Linked DNA regions of Lytechinus pictus. The protein of the gene in region 1 purifies or fractionates together with the protein of each later gene. This does not show direct contact. Links are inferred from orthologs where the notes say so. Each region holds a gene or a part of one and is shown in the gene's direction. Other genes may lie near its edges. The genes, in order: syntaxin-8-like, vesicle-associated membrane protein 4-like and vesicle-associated membrane protein 7-like.

Region 1 (8,256 bases):
AAAAGAATAAATGATAGGTCATTTGATGAATTATTAAAATCATTAATATACAACAAGAAAAGCAGTGGGCCTAGGAGTGATCCTTGCGGTACACCGCAAGAAATAGTTTTCATTTGAGATTTATGGTCTTCTATTGAAACAAATTGTTTTCTGTTAGTTAGGTAACTCGTGAACCATTCCAAGGCCTTTCCACGCACACCATAATGTGATAACTTGTAAAGCAAAATATCATGATTAATCGTGTCAAAGGCCTTGGAAAGGTCCAGGAATACACCAACTGTGTGCAGAGAATTATCAATAGCATTTGCCACTTTGTGAATAAAAGGATCGTCTTCTCCTAGTACATGTACACTTTGAAAACAAATACTTTTAAATGGAGTGTTTATTTACTCTTCCGTTTTTCTGAGGTCGAGCAAGTCTATCAAAGTATATTCAACCAAAACGATTTGTTTTGTATTGTACTTATATTTTGGTAATTGTCTTCTTGCACATCGCTGTGCCATATTTTTAGCATGTCATGCTCTTTTTACACTTGATTTGATTGTCAGTCTTGAATCTATTTTCCATAATTTCTACTTTATTAATATGAATGTGAATCAGCAAGAAAGTTCACAAAACCTTCGTACCAGTCGTGTATCGATTTGTAAATTATATCATCGCTATATTTATTTATCAAGAGATGCAAGTAAAGTCGTTATTATCGTAAAACCTACTATCATTATGATATACAAGTATTTTTTGTTCACACGTTTATTATATGATGGATAGTAATATAGATTTGGAACTAAATGAGGTCATTGCAACGTCATCTTGCCAATATTATTTACCCCATGAATTCAAAAATAAGATTACTTACCAAGAAAATCATTTCAGTATTCTTCATGTAAATTCAAGGAGTCTATGTAAGAATTTTGATACTTTTCAAGAATTGCTTTCTTCTGTTGAATATGAATATAGTATTATATGTGTAACTGAAACATGGCTAAATGACAAATCTCCAGATTTATTTAATATAAGTGGTTATTTACTTCTTCATGTTGATAGAAATAATATGAAAGGTGGTGGTGTTGCTATATATATAAAAGAATCTTATCAATTTTTTTATCAGGAAAGACTTACAATTTGTGAGTAATAGCGCTGAATCATTATTTGTTGAAGTTGAAAATTGTAATTCCAAAAATTCTGTTATAGGTGTTGTTTATCGACCACCCCACTTAAATACTGAATCCTTCTTCTCTGATATAGATATTATTCTTCATAAACTTACAACCGAAAATAAAGATATATATTTATCTGGTGATTACAATATTGATATTCTAAATATTAATAAACAAAGCCAAACATTTTTCAATGTATTGAATTTGTATGCATTATATCCTTTTATAGATAAACCAACACGTGTTTCTGCTGTAAGTTCTACTTTAATCGATAATATTTTTTCCAACACTGACAAGCGACATATTTCATCTGGTATATTATATTCTGATGTTTCTGACCATCTTCCTATATTTATTATCACTACACTTGGACAAAGTAAAAAGCCTGCTACAAATATTACTTATATTCGAAAGATGTCTCCTGAGAATATGCAAAATTTTATAACCGAACTTGAAGCCGAATCTTGGGTTGATGTTTTATCCTGTAATGACGTTGATATAGCATATAAATTATTTATTGATAAACTGCATTGCTGTTTAAACCATACAATTCCAAAAGTTAGACGAAAAAGGTCATCAAAAACTCCTAGAAAACCATGGATTACTTTTGGGATTGTAAAGTCAATTCGAAAAAGGAACAAACTTTATAAAACTAGTTTGAAGAATCCTTCCTCTGAAAATATTAGTAAATATAAAAGATATAGAAATTTTTTAACATGTATCATCAAAAATGCAAAGAAAACATATTATTCACAAAAATTTGAAAATGCTAAAGGAGATATGTCAGCTACTTGGAAAAATATTAACGAATTATTGGGGAAAGCAAAGGATGCTAATTTAAATCATAAATATTCACATGGTGATTTTGTATATGAATCATTAGATGATATTGTTAACGGTTTTAATGATTATTTTGTTAATGTTGGGCAGGAACAAGCATTAAAAATACCACATACCACAACTAATTTTGCAGATTATTTACGCAATTCATGTCAACATACATTGTTTTTTAATCCAACAAATTCTGAGGAAATATTGAAAATCGTAAACAATCTTAAAAACAGTCGTTCTTTTGGACATGACGAGATTAGTAATTTTCTCCTTAAAAAGATTATATTAAGCATTATAACTCCTTTTGTTCACATATGTAATATTTCAATGTCAACCGGAATTTTTCCACTTCATATGAAAATTGCGAAAATCATTCCAATTTATAAAAAGGACGATCGGACACTCATTGAGAATTATCGCCCTATCTCTATTCTTTCGTCATTTTCAAAAATACTTGAACGTCTTGTTTACAATAGATTAGTTTCATTTTTGTCATTACATAATTTATTAAATCCATCCCAATATGGTTTTCGCAAATTTCATTCTGCTGATCTAGCTCTTGTTGATCTTTATGATAAAATTTCTTCTCTTTTAGCAAAAAAGGAACATGTAATTTGTGTTTTCATGGACTTAAGTAAAGCGTTCGATACCCTGGATCATACTATATTGCTTTACAAATTAAAATATTTTGGTGTTAGAGGTACTACTCTTAATTGGTTTAATAGTTATATTTCAAATAGGCAACAATTTACATGTATAAATTCAGTAAGTTCTAATTCACAGTATATTAATTGTGGTGTGCCTCAAGGCTCAATTCTGGGCCCGCTTTTATTTCTTCTGTATATAAATGACATAGTATATTCTTCACCCTTATTACAATATATTCTTTATGCTGATGACACAACAGTTATTTCTTCAAACTCGAATAAAAGAATGCTTTTTGAAATGTTGAATAATGAATTGCCCAAAATATCCACATGGTTCCAAAGTAATAAATTGTCTTTAAATTTGCAAAAAACATATTATATTGATTTCAAGAACTCCAAAACAATAGCTGATCATTATACAGAAGAAATAAAGATAAGTGGGATTTCTATCGAACAAAAATATAATGTGAGATTTTTAGGTGTCATTCTAGATGAGTTTTTAACATGGGATGACCATGTATCTAAAATATTGACGTCTGTATCAAGATGTATAGGTATAATCAGGGAAGTGTTATAACACTTCCCTGGTATAATGTTTAAAGTTAAACACTATTTACCTCCTCAAGCATTACTCTCAATTTATAATTCTATTTTACTTCCACATATCACTTATTGCAATATTGTATGGGGCTCATTCAAATAAAAAAATCACCATATCCTTTTACTTCAAAAGAAAGCTATTCGTTTGTGTGCCGACGCTGGTTTTTATGAAAATACTGGTCCCCTCTTTAACCGTTTCAAGACTTTAAAAATTGATGATATACATAAATTTCAAATTGCTTTGTTTATGTTTAAGTTTCACTGTCGCCAATTACCATTAACATTTGATCATATGTTCCTTTTGAATTCGTTTATTCATAATTATCCTACGAGAACCTCAACAAATTTACATTTATCAAATCCGCTAACTGCCTTAGCCCATAGGTCAATAAGACATACTGGTCCAGATACCTGGAATGATATAGCTTTAACAATACGTGGTGCTCCTACATTGAACAAATTTAAGTTTGAGTTTAAGCATTCCATTATTAGCACTTATTTGAGTTAAGATATTGTTCTATCATCAGTTTCATGACTTTCATCATATTGCATACTTTATTTTTTGTATTATTTTATACGACGTATCTATGTTAAACATAGTAATATTAATCGATACACGGCTGGTGTGTTATTATCATTTGATTTATTCTTGACATGCTTGATGTGTTTTCCTTTTGGCCCTGCTTTTACTGTAATTTTTAAATATGACTTATATTGATTTTATTCAGGGCCGTAGTGAATGAATTCTTTCAAAAATTCCTATTAAAAAAAATCCCCTTTCAGGACCGATTGTCTAAACTTATCAGCTTGCTCTGTGCGCTTGCCGCTCGCATTTTGATTATTGAGATGTATCCTCATTATGAATTCTAACAGTCTTTAAAATGCCCCTTTACAGTTTATCATCAGTATACGCATCTTGTTCGTTTTACAAGTGTTTAAAATGGTCCTTTTTAGGACTGAAAAAATCCAACCAATCACCTCATGCTTTGCGGTCGCATTATTAATTATGGAGCACATCCATGTAATGAGCCCATACAAAGCAATTTGTAAAATATCACATTTTTAGGTAACAGTTCATTTTATTATTGATTTGGCTAGATACGCATCCTGCTGGATTACAAAGAGTGTTCTAGTAGAGCGGATGAGCCGAACAATTGTGCAAATTATGACTAAAGCATGAAACTTTCACAAGTATTAGTATATGCCGTAAGATTTATTTTAAAGATGGGAGGTAAATTTATTAATGCCATTTTCGGCCGTTGCCATGGCAACGGATTAATTTCTCCAAATTAACACACATTCCCATGTAAATGGTAAATAAACATGATATAGATGACCAAAATGATAATTTTCAGGCTCCCAATTGAATACATATGAAATTTAGAAATATTCAAGATCACCAAGATAGTTCCAATTGGTCCGTTACCATGGCAACGGCTTGTTTTTCCCCAGAAAAATAAAAATTGTTGTGATTTTTGGAGCTTATCCGCTCTACTATTCAGAGTGTACCTTAATTCCGATTTTAACTTTAAAACGATCTAGGATGCAGCTTCATTATGTTTTTTTTTCAATCACGATTTGGGTGTTTCAGCGACACCATAACATTCGGTCTTGTGATGTCAAGCTTGAACTAAATCTCTTTCACATCTTTTTAATTGGCAGATAACCATGTATAAAGCGTGATTATTGTAAAAGTGCATGAAAAGATAGTTCTTTGTTATTTTGCATTGGTATAGGGTGACATAATTTTGTTGAAAGATGGCAGGATTCGGTGGAGATGCGTGGTAAGTTGTGGCTAAATTACTTGTTTACATTTTCCTCTCAATGTAGTCCCATTCGTTGATATCCGAGTTAGTGACACAAATATTTGTGCATTCGTTGATGAACACCTGTCATTTCAAGACAAGTGGACTAGTGGTTAGGGTTGGTGGGTTTTTATTATGTTATCGCTAAGAAAGTATATATGCTTGTAAGAAAATAAAGAAGGCTATATGAACAAAAATACCTAGCCAAGACGATATTTTGTGATGATATTTTTATTGAATATTTATAATTAGGGCCTAGGGCCTATAGTATAGGCCTATAGACATAGTCTATTTGACTATTTCATTTTCATGATAATTTAATTTTAATTGATGAAACGTCAATCGTCAATATCAGAAAATGTTGTTGTTGTTTGGTTTTAATTTTAACGGTGCTTTTATTCAAAAAAGAATATATGCGCCAATCAAATCTATTCTATTAAGTATTATGTCAAAAAATATATTTTTATTCACCCAAGAATTCATTACATGCCGCCGCGCACGGAAAAATCAAGCCATAGAAGTCGTGTGTTGTGGACCCAAGAAGTGAGATCCCAGCACGCGCGACCCACTAGTTAGAAATCCACTGCCAAACGCGGTTCGTGGTGCGAGGTTAGTATACTAATACTAACCTCGCAATACGTGTGAGTGATTTTTATTGTATTGTTTTCAGTAGGGCCTTATTAAGATTTGAGAAGTATAAGGCCGTTAAATTTAAGATTTTGCAAGCGCACGCAAGCTTTGTTGCACTTAAATACAAGTGCAAAATATATATATTTAACTGGGCGTTGTGGCATGTGCCTGTAATCCAAGCCATGTGGGGAAGTTACTAATTGATGCAGAGCAGAGGTTCAAGCCCTGGTCACGTCTTTCGGATGGTGACGTTAAAGGTCGTTCCCAGACGTAAATAATCATATCTGATTGATACACATCTGACAAAACTCAAAATACACACACACACACACCATGGGGTCACTTTCTCACTGCAACCACCCACTTGTTCACTGCAACCATCCTGCCTGTGGGGAATCTACAGGTTGGACTATGGCATGCCAATGCTGTACAGAGCACACACTTTAAAAAATGATTAAAATATCACTTTTGTGACCAAAATTACTAATTTCCATACAGTTGCAATCTATTTTTCATTTGTAACTTGGGAATAATTTTTGTATTCACTAGAGCGCTCAAAAACTTGAATTTTGGGCATATTTTTGTGTACGCCCTCTATTGGTGGAAAATAATATGGCAAGAAAATTTTCATTTTTCATCTCTATTTTTAATTAAGAAAAAAATAATTTAAAGAATCAAATTTACTAAAGGGCCAAGTTGTATGACGAATAGGTGTAATGGAAACTGTCAGTGTAAAAAAATCAAGCATTTGTCCCAAAGAAAAAGAGAAAATAAGCCAAACATTGCCATCCTTATTTTGCCACACATGGAGATATAACTGAGAACAAGGTTATATCATAACCTTGTTCATTGAATGAGTGGCAACCACCCTGCCTGTGGGGAATCTACATGTAGGACTATGGTATGCCAATGCAGTAGACAACACACATTTAAGAATTTCATTAAAATATCACTTATGTGACCAAAAATACTAATTTCCATACAGTTGCACTTTAATTTTCATAAGTAACTTGGGGATAATTTTTGTATTCACCAGAGCACTCAAAAACTTGAATTTTGGGCATAGTTTTGTGTATGCCCTCTATTGGTATAAAGTAAAATTGCAAGAAAATTTTCATTTTTCAATCTCTATTTTTAATGTAGAAAAAATAAAAGAATTCAATTTACTCAAGGGCCAAGTTATAATTGAGTAGCTGTATGAAAACTGACAATGTCAAAAAATCAAGCTTTTGTCCCCAAGTACAAGAGAATTGCCAACCTTATTTAAGGTGTAGTGGTCCACCTGCATTCCCCCCAATCAGTTTTATCGGGAGAAGAGACCTGCGGGTCATAGTGATTCAGTTCGCTTTTCACCTCCCAGGCACAGGTGACGCCAAACAAATAATAAAATATAATAACCACACATAGAGTAGTAACAGAGAACATTATATCATAACCTTGTTCATTGAATGGGTGCGTGGGGTATGGTATAACTTGAAAAAAAATCAACATCATATCACATTGGTAAACACCAGATGAAGGTGGAAAGTGCAGAGCAATACATAATATTATATAATAAATGGTGATGTCTATAAATTATGAGACGTCTTATAAATATAAAAAGTATATTTTTGCATCATTCGTAGGTCATTCCTAGCTTCATCTGTGGGGCCTGGTGCCCTCCTGCTTGCTGCCCCGTTTACCGACAGTTTAAGGGGCAAGCCCGGTCAGCACACTACTCACAGGAGCTCTAGCAAAATATTAAGGGCACCAGCCCCCACAAGACTAAATGAGTCATCAGCAAATATTATTAGCAAAAATCCTCTCCTGATTCCTAGCCGTAGTTGGGTCATACAAGATTTGTTAACGGACGAGTCTCACATGTACGCAATGTTCCTTGTGCATGGGTCTTTTTTCTTCTAAATATTGGTCTAATTAACACTATCATAAATAAAATCTTTCCGAAACAACATTGTTAAAACATCAATTTGAAGGTTTTTGATAAGAAAATGAAAAAAAAATTGATTGTGTTATCAACATCTTATTCTTAAAAGTAAAAAATGTATTTGTACAATGTACATGTGTAGCACACAATTATTTCATGAGAAAGTCTTTGAAATCAAGTTTAATTGTCGTTATATTATGATATGTTTATAACTGGGCAATTCCATAAAATATGTACGTCCGGCCCCCTATATTTGGGACCTTCATGAAATTTTCTGTCTCTGATTTTTGGTTCTTTTGACAGCCTGTAATGCTGTCAAATGACCATGACTTGTTCAGTTTATGAAGAGAAGTAAAACTTGAGAAAAACGGGGGTCGGATGTACAAAAAGGTTGATTATTTTACGGAATTGCCCAACTGGCACATAAACATTGATTTAACTTTGTGAAATCCTGAAATCTTAGCTAAAATCAATAGCTCTGAACATCACCAACACAGAAAATCATATGTGGGACAGTTTATTAATATTGCTAAGACAAATACCAGATATTTTGATGGAATGCCTTGCTTATTTTGCTAATTTCTCAGAAATCACAAATTTTCTTCCAGAGCCTTTGTGCACATATTTTTTAAAACTTATTTTATTAGATTCTGTTCGAATTC
Region 2 (7,744 bases), on another chromosome or scaffold:
TGTCTATGTTTTATTAATATAACCACCTATCATTTATCTCTCCATCCATCACTCCATCCATCTATATATATTATTATCTTTCTTATATGTATCTGTTTGAATATGTAAATCTGTTTGTCTATCTATTTTTCAATCTAATATCTGTTTAAATATTTTTTTTCCTGTTTATCTTTCTATACGACAGACCACCTAATTCGTCCGCATGACGAATTAAAATCTAGTTTTTCTTTTTATATATATCTTTATGAAATAAGACAAATATGTGCCCCGACATGGGAATTTTGCATTGTTAACCCCCTATTGGCTGCACATGCACGATAGCGAGCCGTCTGTGTACGAGAAATTCAAAAAATAATAATAATGTTAAAAAACTCCTCGAAACAGACGGCTGCCAGCCGTCTAATGTTTGACTAGTATTACTATTACACGGACGAGTCCTGGCCCTGGGTTAGCTAGTGCACGTACCGAGTTATGGTAGGGGTTCCTAAAGCTGCGCGGGTCCTAAAGCTACGCACCACTCCATCGCGCATGCAATTTCAATGGGAAAATAAATGCGCACTCGAGCTCTGTGTGTGAAGCTGTGACTGCAGAGTGACGAACGATCCTATTCAATTTTTTTACAGAGGCTGCAATAAATTCTTGAATGCAGAGAAAACCAGCAAATGTTTGGAATTTTTTATTTATGTTCACTTTAATTTCATATTTCCCTATAATAATACGAACATATTTTAGAAATTAAGGCACAGGAAATACTATTTCTTTGCATGATAAATCGAGTGCGTAGCTTACTTTAGGACCCCTTCTACATCGGCGACGAAATCAAGACAAGAGGTGTTCGGAAAACACGGCGGGTTTTTCGTATTAGAGCGTGATCGGTTCATCACGGACGGACATTTGATAGATTTTGAAAACTTTGAAGGCTTGTAACAAATTGGGAATAAGATGAACATGGTTCCTTTTTGTTTTATAGTGAAGGGTTACTTAGGACAAAGTATGCTGAATGATGAAAAAAGTTTGTTGCCATGGTTACCTACAAACATAGGTAGCCACTAAATGTGCCATATCACGGACGGACATGATAGAAATGTGGTTTTCAGAATTTTTGAACATTTTTATTGTTTCTATCTAAATAGCTTAACTTTGACCAATAATGGAAATGTTCACACCTACCAAAAAAAATTACTTCCCAATATTTTTTTTCTACTAATTTTTGTTTGATAATACTATAGATTAATGTTTAGAGTGCAAGAACATCCAAACCAAATTAGAATAACTTTAAAAACCATAAAACTAGAGAGAATTTGATTTGAGTAAAAATGTCCGTCCGTGATGAGAGGTAATAGCACCCCCACGAATAAAATGGACTATTCCAGTACTTTCGGATTCATCAATCTTCATGAAACCGAGTTCTTTGAAACCTGAGATATCAAAGAATATCTTAAAAGCAATTTTGATAGAAAAAAAAAAAAAACCCTTAAAGGAGAATGAAACCCTTGAAACCATCTGAATCCATATCAAAGAGAAAAATCAAAGAAACATATTGTTGAAAGTTTGAGGAAGATTGAATGAATAATAAGAAAGTTATGAGCATTTGAATATTGAGATCACTAGTGCCATGTAGATCCTCCCATCGGCAATGCGACCAAGATCTGTGATATCACACACGTACAACTCCCTCAATACTTTAGTACTTATTTCACTTATATTCTCACTTTTATAGAGTCTATCACAAGGTGAGGTGTTCTCTTTATGAGATGACAAGTACAGAGGTTTCACAACATTATATCATTGATGAATCGTTTGTCATATGATTAGAATGAGCAAAAAGAGATGTTTTGGGGTATATTTTCAGTGTCCAAATGGGAGAGTTCTACGTGTGTGACATCACAGATCTTGGTCGCATTGCCAATGAGAGGATCTCCATAGCATTAGTGATCTCGACATTCAAATGCTCATAACTCTTTTATTGCTAGTCCTATTTTACTCAAAGTTTTGTTGATCTTATTCTTTGATTTTTCTGCTTTCACAAAAGCTAACTTGCTCCAAGAGTTTCATTCTCCTTTAACTAAGGCTTAACCGATCATGCTCATTACTAAAGTCTAAATACTAATTTAGTGAGTTCTGTGATATTTTCTTCTTGGTTAAGAGAATATTAATTACAAATTAGTGAAAGACAAATGGTTAAAATATTAAAATTGGCATAGTTTTTATCGTTTGAAAACAAAGTGCGCGCGTAGCCGTAGCTTTAGTTTAGGTCCCCCCATCATACAACTTACGGTTACACTTGTTACAGTCTACAGTACAGAGCTAACGTTAGACGAGTGTGTATTTTTGTAATAAGCTACTCGAACATCTACACTACAGTCCCATTCACAGCAATCACTGTCAGTAAATTCTTTTCATCTTCCAAACAACGCACTAGTAAGCAATAAAAATTTAGTTTAAGCTCAAATCAAAGAGTTTATCATTCACACATATATAGAATGAATCATTTCTCAATGGATCAACTATCAAAGAATCGAAATCAATGTATAAAATCACAAATCTTCAAGTTCACAGGTCTTTCTTACCGATCTTAAAAATTTGCCAGTGACCTATTTTCAGAGATTCCCGCGAAGATGACGTCATGATGGTGCGTGCGTGATCTCAATGCATGGTAAATTGCCAATTCGCATACTCGCTGCCAACTCGTCCACTCACCAAATGTCATTCCGTCAATCAACATTTCGTCTAAAAACTATTTGGTCCATTAATAACCATTTGGTCCAATCATCACTTCGTCTAATAACCATTTCGTCTCATAACCAGTTGGTCTAATTAATATCCACACTTGGCACAATTAAAAAAGGACAAGTCCACCCTAACAAAAAAGTTGATTTGAATAAAAGAGAAAAATCCAACAAGCATAACACTGAAAATTTCATCAAAATCGGGTGTAAAATAAGAAAGTTATGACATTTTAAAGTTTCGCTTAATTTCACGAAATAGTTATATGCACATCCTGGCTGGTATGCAAATGAGGAGACTATGACGTCATCCACTCACTATTTCTTTTGTATTTTATTATATATATTCTAATTTTCTCCTCATTGTCAAGTGATACAACGATTGATTCCTCCCTGAACATGTAGAATTAGCATTGTTTAATGACATGGTTCAGTCAAATTGGTCCCCCTTTGGTCCTTATTGTCATATAGATAAATAATGAAATATTGTATAGGCCTAATTCAAACAATAAAAAACAAAAGTGAGTGATGGACATCAACGACTGACTCACCTAGTTGTGCATATATCACTGTTTTGTGAAAAATAAGCAAAACTTTAAAAATGTCATAAATAATTTTTTATTTTTCATCCGATTTTGATGAAATTTTCAGCGTTATGCTAGTTTGGTTTTTCTCTATTTATTCACATCAACATTTTTCTGGGGTGGACTTGACCTTTAACATTTTTTTTTAAAGTTTCCTTTAATTTCCCTTCCATGCACTTATTTTCCTTGTTCCTTTTGTCATTGTCCGTGAGAAGATGGCAGGCATGCAGGGGCATCTCGGGAGCCATATAGGGCAATTTTCGCACCCCTCGGTGGAGCTTAATTTTACTTCATTTTCTTTTTTCCCTTCTTTTTATCTTCCATATATTTGATGGAAATCATCAAGGGGGTAGGGGCTCTCTCAAATTTTATTCCCCTTTTTACCTTTTTTCCCCTTTCAACCATGTAAATACCGTTTCCATTCTTTTAATTTGCTTCTCCTTTGACCGCCTTTCCCCTTTTCTTCACCCTCTTCCTTTTCCTATAGGCTTCTTGTCTTTTCTCCACCCTCTCTTGAAATTCATTCCTTTCATTTTTTTTTTTCCATCCTCCATCTCCCTTCTTTTTCTTTTCTTCCCTTTTCCATTTCGCTTTCGATTAATTATTTTTCTTTCTTTAATGAAACTGTTGTCCTTTTCTTTATTAGCATTTTCCCTTAATACCTTCTTTAATCTCACACTTTTTCTTTATTCATTCTTTTTCATTTTCCTTCTCTTTTTAACCTCTTTCCCTTTCTCTTGCCCATATAATTATATTATTTCATTGTATTATCATTATTATTTTTTGTTTTTTGGGGGATATAATGGATCCGCGCCTGCATGCATACATGCAGCCACGTACGATCTACAAATACATTTTGAAGTCAAAAGTTTTGTATTCCATTTTTTGCTCCTTTTTGATTTTTATTGTTTAATATGCATCGGAGTCATGTTAGCCATACTAGTCCTCTTTTAGATTTTTCTTTTGGAAATAATTAAGCTTTCGAGCTTTCGTGGGTCATCCTGTGCAAGCCTGTTGTTTTATGTTCTGGTGACTTGCCAAATAAAATAAACCAATCAATCAATCAATTCATTGCATAGTTAAGTTCTAAACAATATCTGCGCCACATCTTGTACAGAGGAATACGCCATCTACGTTACCAATACCAGTTAGTCGGAGGCCGAAGACGACAGACGTAGATCGAGTTGGAAACTTTATTTTATGAAAACAAGCATTTAATTCTGCAGAATGTTTCTCATTTGAGTGAAAGGTGGGTATTTACCACATTTCATTAAATTCATGACATAGAAAATTAGTCATTTGATTTCATTCACAGTCTGTACTGATTAGCTATCGTACTCGGAGTCGATCGACTCGAGTCGACTGATCCCCGATCATTTACTATTTAGCTGAAGCGAAGCCAGGCAACCGTACGCACGGCCGGCGACCCGGGCCCTGGTCGATCGGCGACTCTGGCACTGCATGTTCATTGCTAACCCAGAGAGCTCCCGCCCGCTGCGCGGGCGGGAGCCCAGAAGCTTACCGTGTATTTTACCATTGTCACCGGACTAGGGTGATTTATGGTCTAAATATTTCTCCAAATGAATTGTGAAAACAGAAAGTATAGAATTACCACGATTATATGGATGAAGGTCTAACGAGTGGCAGATTCCTGACATCTGGGCACAGTCTGGAACCTCAAAAAAACGAAAAGTTCTCTCCTTCTACCCCGTCTCGATCGGCCATTTTTGTTAAAAATTGTAACAAAATGGCCGATCGAGACTGGGTAGAAGGAGAGAACTTTTCGTTTTTTTGAGGTTCCAGACTGTGCCCAGATGTCAGGAATCTGCCACTCGTTAGACCTTCATCCATATATACTTTCCGTTTTCACAATTCATTTGGAGAAATATTTAGACCATAAATAACCCTAGTCCGGTGACAATGGTAAAATACACGGTAAGCTTCTGGGCTCCCGCCCGCTGCGCGGGCGGGAGCTCTCTGGGTTAGTTCATTGCAAGTGCAACCACTGGCACTAGCACTTCCACTGCACTGCAGTTCCACTGCCTGTCACAAGTGTGTCTTGTCTTGATTTGTTTCATTTGTCAGTGTTTGAGTGTGACTAACGTGATGTAATGATGGCTGAAAATAATGCAGGGAATATTTCTGGCATTCTGTGCCGTGCCTTCTGCCTAGACAAGATAGCTGGCAGCCGTCTGTTTCGAGTTTTTTTTAATTTAAAGTAGGCCTACCGCCTAGGCCTAAACATTTTTTTAAATTTTTTATTTCTCTTTGTATGTACACTGTGATGGCTCGCGATCGTGCAGCTGCCATTAGGGAGCTAACAGTGCAAAGTCCCCCCGATGGGGCTCATCGATTTCTGTCTTTATTTCATGAAAATATATAAAAAGAACTGGACCAAAATAAAGATTATTATTCCGTTTTGGCCTGAAATGCACCAAAACAGGGAAAAATAAACTTAAAAGGAAAAAAAAACCAGTGACTTACCTTACCTTACCTTACCGCAAATACTGGAAGAATGCTGAATTAGCAGTCGAGCTTCCAGGTCTATCTTCTAATTTTGTCAGCTTCCTTCATGCTTCAATAAGTTTCAATAAGTTTAAGGAGGCAGTGGGGCAAGTTGGTGAAAATTGACTTCTCATATCCAGTTAAGAGTAGTGGGAATCATAATGCTTATCTTTCCAGTGTCGGTCTAGCCTGATTTTGAAGGTGTCTACTGTGGGAGCTTCAACTACCTCAGCTGGGAGAGAGTTCCAATCATTGACTACTCGGTGACTAAAAGCTTGCTTTCTCACATTTGTTCTGCATCTTGGCTTTACAAGTTTGAACCTATGACCTCTTGTAGTACTGTCAGCTAGCTGAAAAAAGTGGTCTGGGTTAAGCCTGTCGACTTCATGAGTGATCTTATACACTTGAATCATGTCACCTCTCTTTCTTCTGTACTCCAAGGATGGTAAGTTCAGGTGTTTAAGCCTTTCCTTGTATGGAAGATGTTTGATCCTGGAGATTACTTTGGTTGCTCTCTTCTGAACTCTCTCGACAGCCTTAGCATCAGCAATGTACTGTGGTGACCAGATGACATTTCCATATTCCAGGAGTGGCCGCACTAACCCTTTAAATAGTTTGGGGATAGTGGTCGAATCAAGACACTGGAAAGTACGTCTGATGCTGATTAGTACCCCGTTTGCCTTATTGACAGCATTTGACACTTGCTTGTGGAATTTTAGATCGTCGTCAATGATGATCCCTAAATCCTTTTCTTCTCTAACTGCATTCAGTGCTGTACTCCCGATGTTGTAGTGCTCTCTTTGGTCACCTGATCCAAGATGCAAAACACTGCACTTGTCAGTGTTGAATTGAAGTTGCCACTTTGAGGACCAGTCCATCAGTGAGTGCAAACTTGCTTGAAAAACTTCACATTGATTTGGAGAGGAGACAGAAGAGAAGGCCTTAGTGTCGTCTGCATAGATCCTTAGAGTGGATTCCATAACATCAGAAAGATCATTGATGTACAACACAAACAATGTCGGGCCGAGCACGCTACCCTGGGGCACCCCGCTCTTTACCGTGCACCACTGAGATCTGGCATTGTTTACAACTACCCTCTGGGTTCGGCCACTGAGAAAATCAGCAATCCAAGTTTTGAAGCTCCCTTGAATGTTGTATGCATCTAGTTTTGCCACAAGACGTTGATGGGGTACACTGTCAAAGGCCTTTCTAAAATCTAGGTAGACAACATCAACCTTTTCACCTTTATCCAGTAAGGATGTCCAGTCCTCTAGTGTCTGGAGCAGCTGTGTAACAGTTGATCTACCTGGGACAAATCCATGTTGGGAATCGCTGATTAGTTCATTCTCCATCAGATGATCAACGATCTTGTCTCTGATCAGCGACTCCATGATCTTACAGGGTACTGAAGTCAAACTTATTGGTCGATAATTAGTGGCTTCAGACTTGTTTCCCTTCTTGTAAACTGGAACAACGTGACTTGCTTTCCATGCTGAAGGAAGCTTGCCTTCTTTGAACGACTTAGTGTAGATGATGGCCAATGGTGTACACACTGAAGGTGCCGTTTCCCGTAAAATGCAAGGATGGATACCATCCGGTCCAGCACTCTTAAATTTGGAAAGCAGATCAAGTTTGCGATGTACATCCTCTGGGGTTATGTCTAGAGCAGATAAGCATCCAGCTGACTGTCTGCGTTCAAGCTGTGGGATGGAAGAAGTGTCCTCTTCAGTAAATGTTGTCTCAAAGAAAGCATTCAAGATTTCGGCTTTCTCTTCATCTGTTGAAGTGAAGGTACCATCCGTCTTTTTGAGATCAGGAAGCCCCTTTCTGGTCTTTAGATTATCAGATGCATATCTCCAGAATGCTTTTGGATCCGTCTTCACATTCTTCGCAAGGTCCTTTTCGAAGTTACTTCGCAGATCTCTTGTG
Region 3 (8,643 bases), on another chromosome or scaffold:
AGGGAATACTTGCTAAGAGTATCGTTTTGTTTCCAATACTTGTTAAGGGGTGCATTTTCAGAATATGGAAAATACATCGCTGTATACTTGTTTAGGGGCTCAGTTCTGGGAATACTTGCCAATAGTATTTGTTTCCAATACTTGTTAAGGGTAGGGTTTCACACGCCAATACTTGTTAAGGGGTGCATTTTCAGAATATGGAAAATACGTGTTTAGGGTGCTTCTCAAGACCCCGTGGTCGCGCATGGTATATCCACTCGTCAATGGAAGTGCCCCCCCCCCGGGCTTGCAGACTGACTGATTTTATTCCTCCCGAACATGTGGAACTACCATTGTTATAACATTTTGTGGTTCAATAAAGCTGGTGGGTGTTTCATAAAGCTGTTCGTAAGTTAAGAACGACTTTAAGAACGACTGGTGATCCTTTCTTGTGGTAAATGGTATATTCATTGGCGACGGTTTAGCGCATAAGAAAGGATCACCAGTCGTTCTTAAAGTCGCTCTTATCTTACGAACAGCTTTATGAAACACCCGCCTGGTCTTTAATTATTATTGAAATATTGTCTATAATTCAAACAATAAAAAAACAAAAGAAATAGTGAGGTGCATCATTGGCTCTCACATTTGCATATCACTGAGTTGTGCATATAACTGTTTTGTGAAAAATAATTAAGCGAAACTTTAAAATGTCATAACTTTCTTTTTTTACGGCAACCGATTTCGATGAAATTTTCAGCATCGACGGTGCTTGTTTGATTTTTATCTGTTTATTCAAATCATGATCTTTCTGGGGTGGACTTGACCTTTAAGGATATAACCACAAATTCCTGATAATTAAGTGCATGGCCTCTGGGATAGTTGTCCCCACCACTTGTCATAATACTCAGTTGCCATGTTGCAATTAGAAATTTACATACTTTTACTAACTTTGAGATCTCGGTTCTTTTTGCTTTGTCTGATTTATTTCTTTCTGTTGTACTTATTTTTCTCTCTCTCACAAAATGTTTTGACCAAGGGTATAGATTCCCTTAAAATCTGAAGAGAAAAAAAATCACTGCTATTGTGTCCAACTTCATAGGAACATTTAGCCAAGTTCAACTCCGGGGTTAAATTATCCAGGTTATATACCAGTACCAATGAAATCTATCGATTTGGAAGAGCAAATCACAACTGTGAAAATATAGTGGACTAGTTGCCCATAATGAAAAGGGTGATTATTGAGCCCAAGACTGGCAGTGGTTTATAGTGGGCTGAAGATGCCTATTGAACCACCGTTTGGAATGCTATATACTCCGGGATGCTACTGTTGATATACATGTACAAAGGTTAAACAAATGAACAAAGAAACTTTAGTTATCATTTTGAGATCCCTTCCTCTGCACTTTGTGTCATTTATCACCCCCAGGTTTTGTGACATTTCTTGAAATTTTTCATGGGGGGGGGGTCTAGCTGCTCCCGGAAGAGAATTATATGACAAATGTAGATATTAACAAATTAACAGCGTCAAATGGGACCTGAGAATGCTTGGACTTTAGACTCAAAATTTAATTTAAATGTTCATCAATAAACGACAAGGCAGCAGTTTATTTGCTAGGTTTTAAGTGTCAGTGGGTATATTGTCCTTTTCTCTTGGACAATGATATAACAACCATTACTCCTCTCATCTAAACGGGCGGATCTGAATCATACAAACCTCCCTTTTGTGCCCGTAGTGCCTCCACCTGTTCAAAATGATGAATTGTAAAATAAACACTTGAATTTCAGAAAAGACATCCTGAAATAACAAAGTATGAACATTATCTACCATTGTTCTTTCTTGTGTTCTTTTATTAAATAATTAGAGATGTCATTGTATGACTATCATTGTCATGATTATCTCGGCTGCGCTGACATACCGGGGATCGGATGACATCCATTCCCGGATCCGTTTCACATCACATCTTCAACGCCCAAATTAAAACAGCACGCGCGCGATCACGAGATTCGGGGAATGGAAGTTGAGATTTGAGTATACCAGTCGAGAACGTAACCCGCTTATTCATTGTAAGTAAGAACAAACTGATTGCACTATGTCAATCAGAATTTACTATCGTCTCGGCTTTCTGTAGTTTCCATCTTTGGTACTGAGTTGAGTTTCATTATGTAAATGAAGATCAATTAAGATAAACTGGCCAGCTTGAATTGAGGGCTTGTTTGTGACTGTTTCTATACGTACCGTAACTGACATTGCTTTACAGGGGCATGACGGGGGAACTCCCCGCGAGGTAAGCAATCCATGCCCGTGGCATGGGGCGTTGCAAGAAAACCACCACAGTTGCGGGCCAAAAAGAGTGCACACGCCCTTGCCCTTATTCTAGAGTAGTCCTTGTTTGAATCTTGGTTGACTTTAATACTCTTTGATTCTCTTTTCAATCGGGGAGGGAGGGAGAGGTAAGAAACTAGGGCCAAGTGGAAACTTGAGTCAGTGACTCACTCACTGAGTGCAGTACTGCTTTTGTTTGAAATCGTTTACTGGTACATTTGGTACCGTATTCCTGACAATTCTTGGACGGGTAAAGGTTTTTGATAACTTCGTGATCTCAATGTAGATGATCATTATATTTACCTTGCCAAGTGCTAAAGAATATTCTTGCATTGATTTCATTTCATTTCATGACCTGCCGACGTCGGTCCCCTTTAGCTTTCGCCCTTTTAGTTTTTGGACAGTACCTTTAAATGGCCGGACAGCTGGCAAAACACGCACGCGCGCTCATTATGGACACTATTATTTTATGAAGTGCGACGAGCCGACGATGGAGCTAGCTAGGGTCTTAGACCAAAAGGTTCGGTCTCTGTTATGTTGGTTGTTCCACTGAACTCCGGTGGCCGTTGGCTCCACTCACCAAATACAGAGACCGAAGTTCTAGCTCGATCTGTACAGGGACTCAATGCCATATGTTTATGTATTAGTTCGGTAAACAAGGGAAGTGGGAGTTGCGCGACAGCCGATGTAAGTCGCTGTTTTTTCCTCTTTTAAGTTTATTTTCCTGTTTTGGTGCATTTCAGGCCAAAACAGAAAAATAATCTTTATTTTGGCACAGTTCTTTTCATATATTTTTATGAAATAAAGACAAAAATCGATGAGCCCCATCGGGGGACTTTGCATTCTTAACCCTCTAATGGTGGCTGCATGATGGTGAGCCGTCTGTGTACGAGGAGAAATAAAAAAAATTAAAATTGTAAAAAAAAATCCTCGAAACAGACGGCTACCAGCTGTCTAGGGTCTTCTTTGTTTTTAATTGAAATAAAGGGGTGGGTGAGCTTATTAATTGTTTGCTTTAGTTTTATTTAAATTATGATCTTAGTGATTCAAATTATAAAGGGGGGGCTTCATTGTTTGTTTTTATTTCATTTCTTATTGAATAAATTATTCATAGTGATTGAAGGGGGGGGGGGCTCTTTTTTGTTTTATTTATGATAATTTTTATTCTTAGTGATTAATGATAAAAGGGGAGAAACATGGCTTGTTAAATCCGTATTTTTTTTTTTTTAAATCTCATTCTTATAGAGATTGAATTCAATAATAGCATTGCTTTATTCTTTGTTGCTTTTTATCTTAATTTTTATTTCTATATTGTGATTGGAATGATAAAAGGACGAGGTGGGGCTTCTTGGTTGTTTATTTGTTTTCTAAATTATTTTTATTTAAGTGATTAAAATGGTAAAGGGGAGGGTAGGCATTTTTTTTTTTTAGTGATTAAAATGGTTAATGATTTTTATTTTTAGTGGTTAAAATGGTTGGTATAAGGGATGGTAGACAGGTCATTTTTTTACCGTTTTATTTATTTAAATTTTTATTCTTAGTGATTAAAATAACTTGAATTTATTAAATTAATTCTTTGTATTAAAATCATGAAGCCAAAATACAATACATTTATAGTTCTTTATTTACTTTTGTTTTGCTTATTTATTTTTGGATGAAGTCAAAATATTAATATACTACCATCATTTTTAATGTATGATATAGTGAATTAATTCTTTATTACAATACTGTTACAGAGCAAAAATGTCCATCAGGCGGATAAATTAATCCCTATTTTTTGTGGGGTGGGGGCATTTATGGTTTGGATTATGCCCATCCCCACTAAAACTGTATTTAATACATACATGTGCATCTGTAGTTTGCTGTTGGCGAGCTCTTCAATCTGGTCAATTCCAAGTTCCAGATTTTCATAGACATCATCATCATGTTACAAAGTGAGGTAATCCTTTTGACCTTGATCATGTTGATCACTTCATCTGGTGGAACAGTGGAAGTGAATGGATTTGCTGTATTCTTGTTTAGGTCTCATATCCTCGGTGTAGTAGACTCGTCTGACCTACAGCCTCAGGTCAAATAGTGAAGTGCGATAATTATTAATTACAGTACTTCCACCATCATTGTCTTTGTAGGATATGCAAACTACTTTGAATAAAGAAGACAATGAGAAGCCCAATTTTAATGCATTTAAAGAATCTTTTAGATTCCCTAGTACCGGTAATAATAATAACAAGAGAGAGGGAGAGATCAGTGATAAATATTATTCAAATTTTTGGGTTTTTTCACATAATTCAGGATGAATTTAAAATCTGCATTTCTTTCCAATAATATTGCTAGATCTGATATTTGCTTGTTTAGTTTCAGGCTTCTTTGCATCGTTCTTCATTCTCTTTAATATTTCTTACATTGTAGTAAAATGTGTTGTTATTTGTTAGAGTACTGTGCAAGAATATGTGCATGCTCGTCTTTTATTAAGATTGGATCAACCACTACTGGTATACTGTTTTTGGTATTCTCATTTTGAGTCTGTCTTAAAGCACCAGTCCACAGCCAGTAGCTAGATGCACAGAGAAATATGCAAGACAATTTCCAATATTGGCAACTTTTTGCAAAAAGGAAAGATAATTTCATTGAAATAAACAAAGTCAACAACAAGGTAATTTTTCATTCATTCCACCTGCTTGTAGGCTAAAGGAGAAAAGATGTTCTGTGGACTTTGCTTGACATTTATTGGGGATCTGTATTTCAAAACATGGTACAGTTTTACAGCTGAAGATAAGACCCAAATGTGAATAGTCATCATGCAGCCATATTTTGTAACAAATTTTATGAAGGATACAGTCGCTTTTTGATGCGGGCATCTCGTGTCAAGTAACAGTTAAAAAAAATAAAGGTTCTTTAAATTACATGTATTTGAAGACTTATGATATTGCACAGTGCAATTGAATACCTCTATCTCAAGTATATGAAACATTTGGATACCAGCAAAATTTCATGTGATCATTAATTCCTCTCAAGAATTAATGACCCAGGTGTTATTAGTTTGCTGCAAAAGTTATTTGTATGTAGTTTCACAGAGCTTTCATAGTGGACAAAGAAGCAACCCATTCAGTTTGTGATATGCTGGGTTGCTGTGCTGGTGTTAACCATTTTAAACCTCAGGGGTGAATACAAATCAATCTCTGTGGAATTATTTCATCCTGTTTTAGTTGATATGTGTAATTAAGAAAAAAGAAATGGCTCCAATTCCTATTCAGAAGCGTTCATATCTCTCCTACCTTTCAGAGTCCCCGGTTGATGGTCTTGATCACATCTACAGGAGACCATCTGACGGAGACAAGATGCCTATACTTTATGCAGTCATCGCTCGTGGCACCACGGTGCTTGCAAACTATGCAGCTTGCCAGGGAAACTTCACTGAGGTGACAGAGCAAGTACTGATGAAGATTCCTCCACAGAATGCCAAGTTGACGTACTCACATGGAGCATACCTCTTTCATTACGTCTCAGAGGAGAGGATTATATATATGTGCATCACAGATGATGTAAGTAGTACCCATTCAATATGAGAACCACTTGGTTTAGTTCCCATAGCCATAACCATAACCCATGTCCAAGAAGTTCAAGTTGTAGTTGGTCCCAAGATCTTGTTTTCTCAAGATGTCATACTCGTTTCTGAATCAACTTGACAAACTATTACATGTGACTGTTGAGTGATGACTTTGAGAGAAAATCTGTAATGTTTAGGTTAATTGTTACCACAACATAATGTAGGTTAATTGTTACAACATTGTTCAAACTTTTATTATTGTATCAATAAGAGTTCTGATACAAGCCAATATGAAATATTTAACCACCCTTTATTCTGAAGATGGCTAGCACATAACACTTTAGTGATAAAGAAGAAGCTCTGTCATTTGTAGAATACCATGTTTATTTTCTATCATGGTAATGATTTGGAACATTACATTCCTTGTAATTAAATATTTATTCTGAGAGTTTGTATAATGATTAAAATATTGATATATCACACAGTAAAATAAAAAAATATATAAATGCAGAAAATGGATTTGTGTGATTTTGTGTAGTAGTAGGATGATAAAATGCTGCTAAATTACCCTGAAAAGAAAATAAAAAGATTTATTTTGTATTATATACTTTTTATGGTTCAAATGATCATTTATTAATTGGTCATTGAATATTTTTCTTCTTTCCAGGACTATGAAAGGTCAAGAGCATTTGCATTTCTCCAGGAGATCAAAAAGAAGTGAGGGCTTGTTTCAAATATTATTTGCCTTTTTATAGAAAAATGTATTTTATGGACTTTATATCACATGACATGGAAGAGCTGATCACATGTGAGGTTACAAAGTCTGAACGTTGAATATCCCTATATTAATCGATATTTGCCAACCCTTCATTCATATGCTGCAATTACTTCTTGTTTGTTATTCAAACCCAATTCGGCATTAGAGAAATTCCCCCTATTGAAAAAAATAATTCTAAACTGTACTTGTAGTTTCTATAGCACAAGTCAGGCAATTGTTAACTTTTTTAAATGTACATTAGCGTCTTCACTGATTGAGATCAACAGTAAGCAAGAAATTCCTTTTGTAATTTGTAATACTTGAGTGGCTCAAGTTGGGCAAGACACTATTACCAACCATACATACTGTATATAGTTTGTGGGATTAAGAATGTGTTTAATACATGTACATGTATCAATCAGTAGCACACATGATATGATGTCTCTATGTGCCTTAAAGGACTAGGACATTATTACCCCAGTTTAAGAGCATGCAAGCTTTTTAAGGGGCTAATTCCTGCATGTAATTTGATATGAATACCCCCTTATTTTCTATAATTAAGACAATTGTGCCATAACTGTGATACCAATGAAATAAATATGATTAATGCATGATAAAGACACTCTCCAAAGTCCCAATACACCATTAAATAATTTGTAACATATTTTTTACTTGTGTAATGTATTGACTTTACCTTCAGTATAAGCTTCTTTCAAAATAGAAACTGAAACCAGATATCTTCAATATCATGATTTTTTTTAATGTCATTATTCCAACTTACAGATTCACAGCCACTTATGGGTCCAGAGTACACACAGCGCTTCCTTTTGCAATGAACAGTGAATTCTCTCGAGTATTAGCTGCACAAATTGTAAGTCTAGAAGTAAAAACTTGTCAACAATAGCAATTTGAAAATATTCAGTCTCGGTCAAAAGAGCAAAGAATGTAGGCTGGTCCCTAAAATATTTACATAGATAGTTGAAAGAACAAGAAATAAATGAAGAGATGCAAAGGAAAAAAAAGGCATTGAGTATGATGTTTGATTTAGGTATGAATGCAGATTGAAGATATCTTATAACAAAATAAGATATTATGAAGACATTGTCATTTTGACTGAATACCCTAGAGTGGAATTGCCCAAGTGGTAGTTTTACTTTCTGTTCATAAATTATCTAATTCTATCATTCAATTCTAAGAAATATATTTGATCCTATACAACCTGTAATATAATTTTGCATTGATCGACTGTTTATATTGTGTGGACTGTTTTAACTCTAGAGACTGCATTTATAGTTTGTTTAGAAGTGATAAGAGGGGGCATTGTCTAGATCATTTCTGATAATCATCCACTTGTGATTTTATGAATCTGTATAGTAGTGTAGCTGGTTTTTTATTAAAATGAAATCCAAGTTTAATGGGTCTATCACCAAGCCACCTGTACTTATTTGAATTTTCAATTGATAATGTAAAAATAAAAAATCATGAAAATGATCTAAAGGGATTAGAATGGTTTTAAATTTGATATTAATTGTATAAGCTAGTGCATCAAATCTGCAATATGGCAGGAAGCATGTCAGGGGTATATAGTTTTTATTTGATTTTATTCTATTTATTGTTTCACATTCCACAAAAACATCTTTATTAAATGAAAAAATAATGAAAATTACATTCACTTATTTACAAAGTAATAAGAATCTCATGAAAATGAAGAACGTATTAAAATCATAACTTGTAAAATATAGGTTCCCAATATATGCATTCATACATGTATCTCTAATTTTAGAATCTACAGTCTAATAATATTCGGTTGAAATATCAAAATGCATAAAACGGTTATTGTTGAGAATGTTATTTTGAACAACAGGATTCATTTGCTAAATTGACATATAATTTAACAAACATTTTATTTATTATTAGGATTTATCAGAGCTTAAATAATGCAGAATATAGATCAATTTATTACATTCTTTGACAGGGGAGATTGGGGTTATATTGAACATTTTGACCAAAATGGCTGTAAAATCCAAATAGATTTTA

The links.
Region 2: the proteins of syntaxin-8-like (region 1) and vesicle-associated membrane protein 4-like purify together in Homo sapiens (co-immunoprecipitation; 3 studies listed by BioGRID and IntAct, counting the BioPlex papers as one, with this or other methods). This does not show direct contact. The link is inferred for Lytechinus pictus from reciprocal best matches to the Homo sapiens genes STX8 and VAMP4.
Region 3: the proteins of syntaxin-8-like (region 1) and vesicle-associated membrane protein 7-like purify together in Homo sapiens (affinity purification with western blotting; 3 studies listed by BioGRID and IntAct, with this or other methods). This does not show direct contact. The link is inferred for Lytechinus pictus from reciprocal best matches to the Homo sapiens genes STX8 and VAMP7.

Annotation. Positions count from the first base shown.
Region 1 is NC_087254.1:19,111,770-19,120,025, reverse strand, and holds the start of syntaxin-8-like, read left to right. Parts: upstream 1-4,819; 5' UTR 4,820-4,993; coding exon 4,994-5,019; intron 5,020-8,256. UniProt on the Homo sapiens protein: Vesicle trafficking protein that functions in the early secretory pathway, possibly by mediating retrograde transport from cis-Golgi membranes to the ER.
Region 2 is NC_087259.1:11,820,608-11,828,351, reverse strand, and holds the start of vesicle-associated membrane protein 4-like, read left to right. Parts: upstream 1-4,444; 5' UTR 4,445-4,559; intron 4,560-7,744. UniProt on the Homo sapiens protein: Involved in the pathway that functions to remove an inhibitor (probably synaptotagmin-4) of calcium-triggered exocytosis during the maturation of secretory granules.
Region 3 is NW_026974140.1:15,217,914-15,226,556, forward strand, and holds the start of vesicle-associated membrane protein 7-like, read left to right. Parts: upstream 1-5,446; 5' UTR 5,447-5,535; coding exon 5,536-5,844; intron 5,845-6,516; coding exon 6,517-6,566; intron 6,567-7,389; coding exon 7,390-7,477; intron 7,478-8,643. UniProt on the Homo sapiens protein: Involved in the targeting and/or fusion of transport vesicles to their target membrane during transport of proteins from the early endosome to the lysosome. Required for heterotypic fusion of late endosomes with lysosomes and homotypic lysosomal fusion.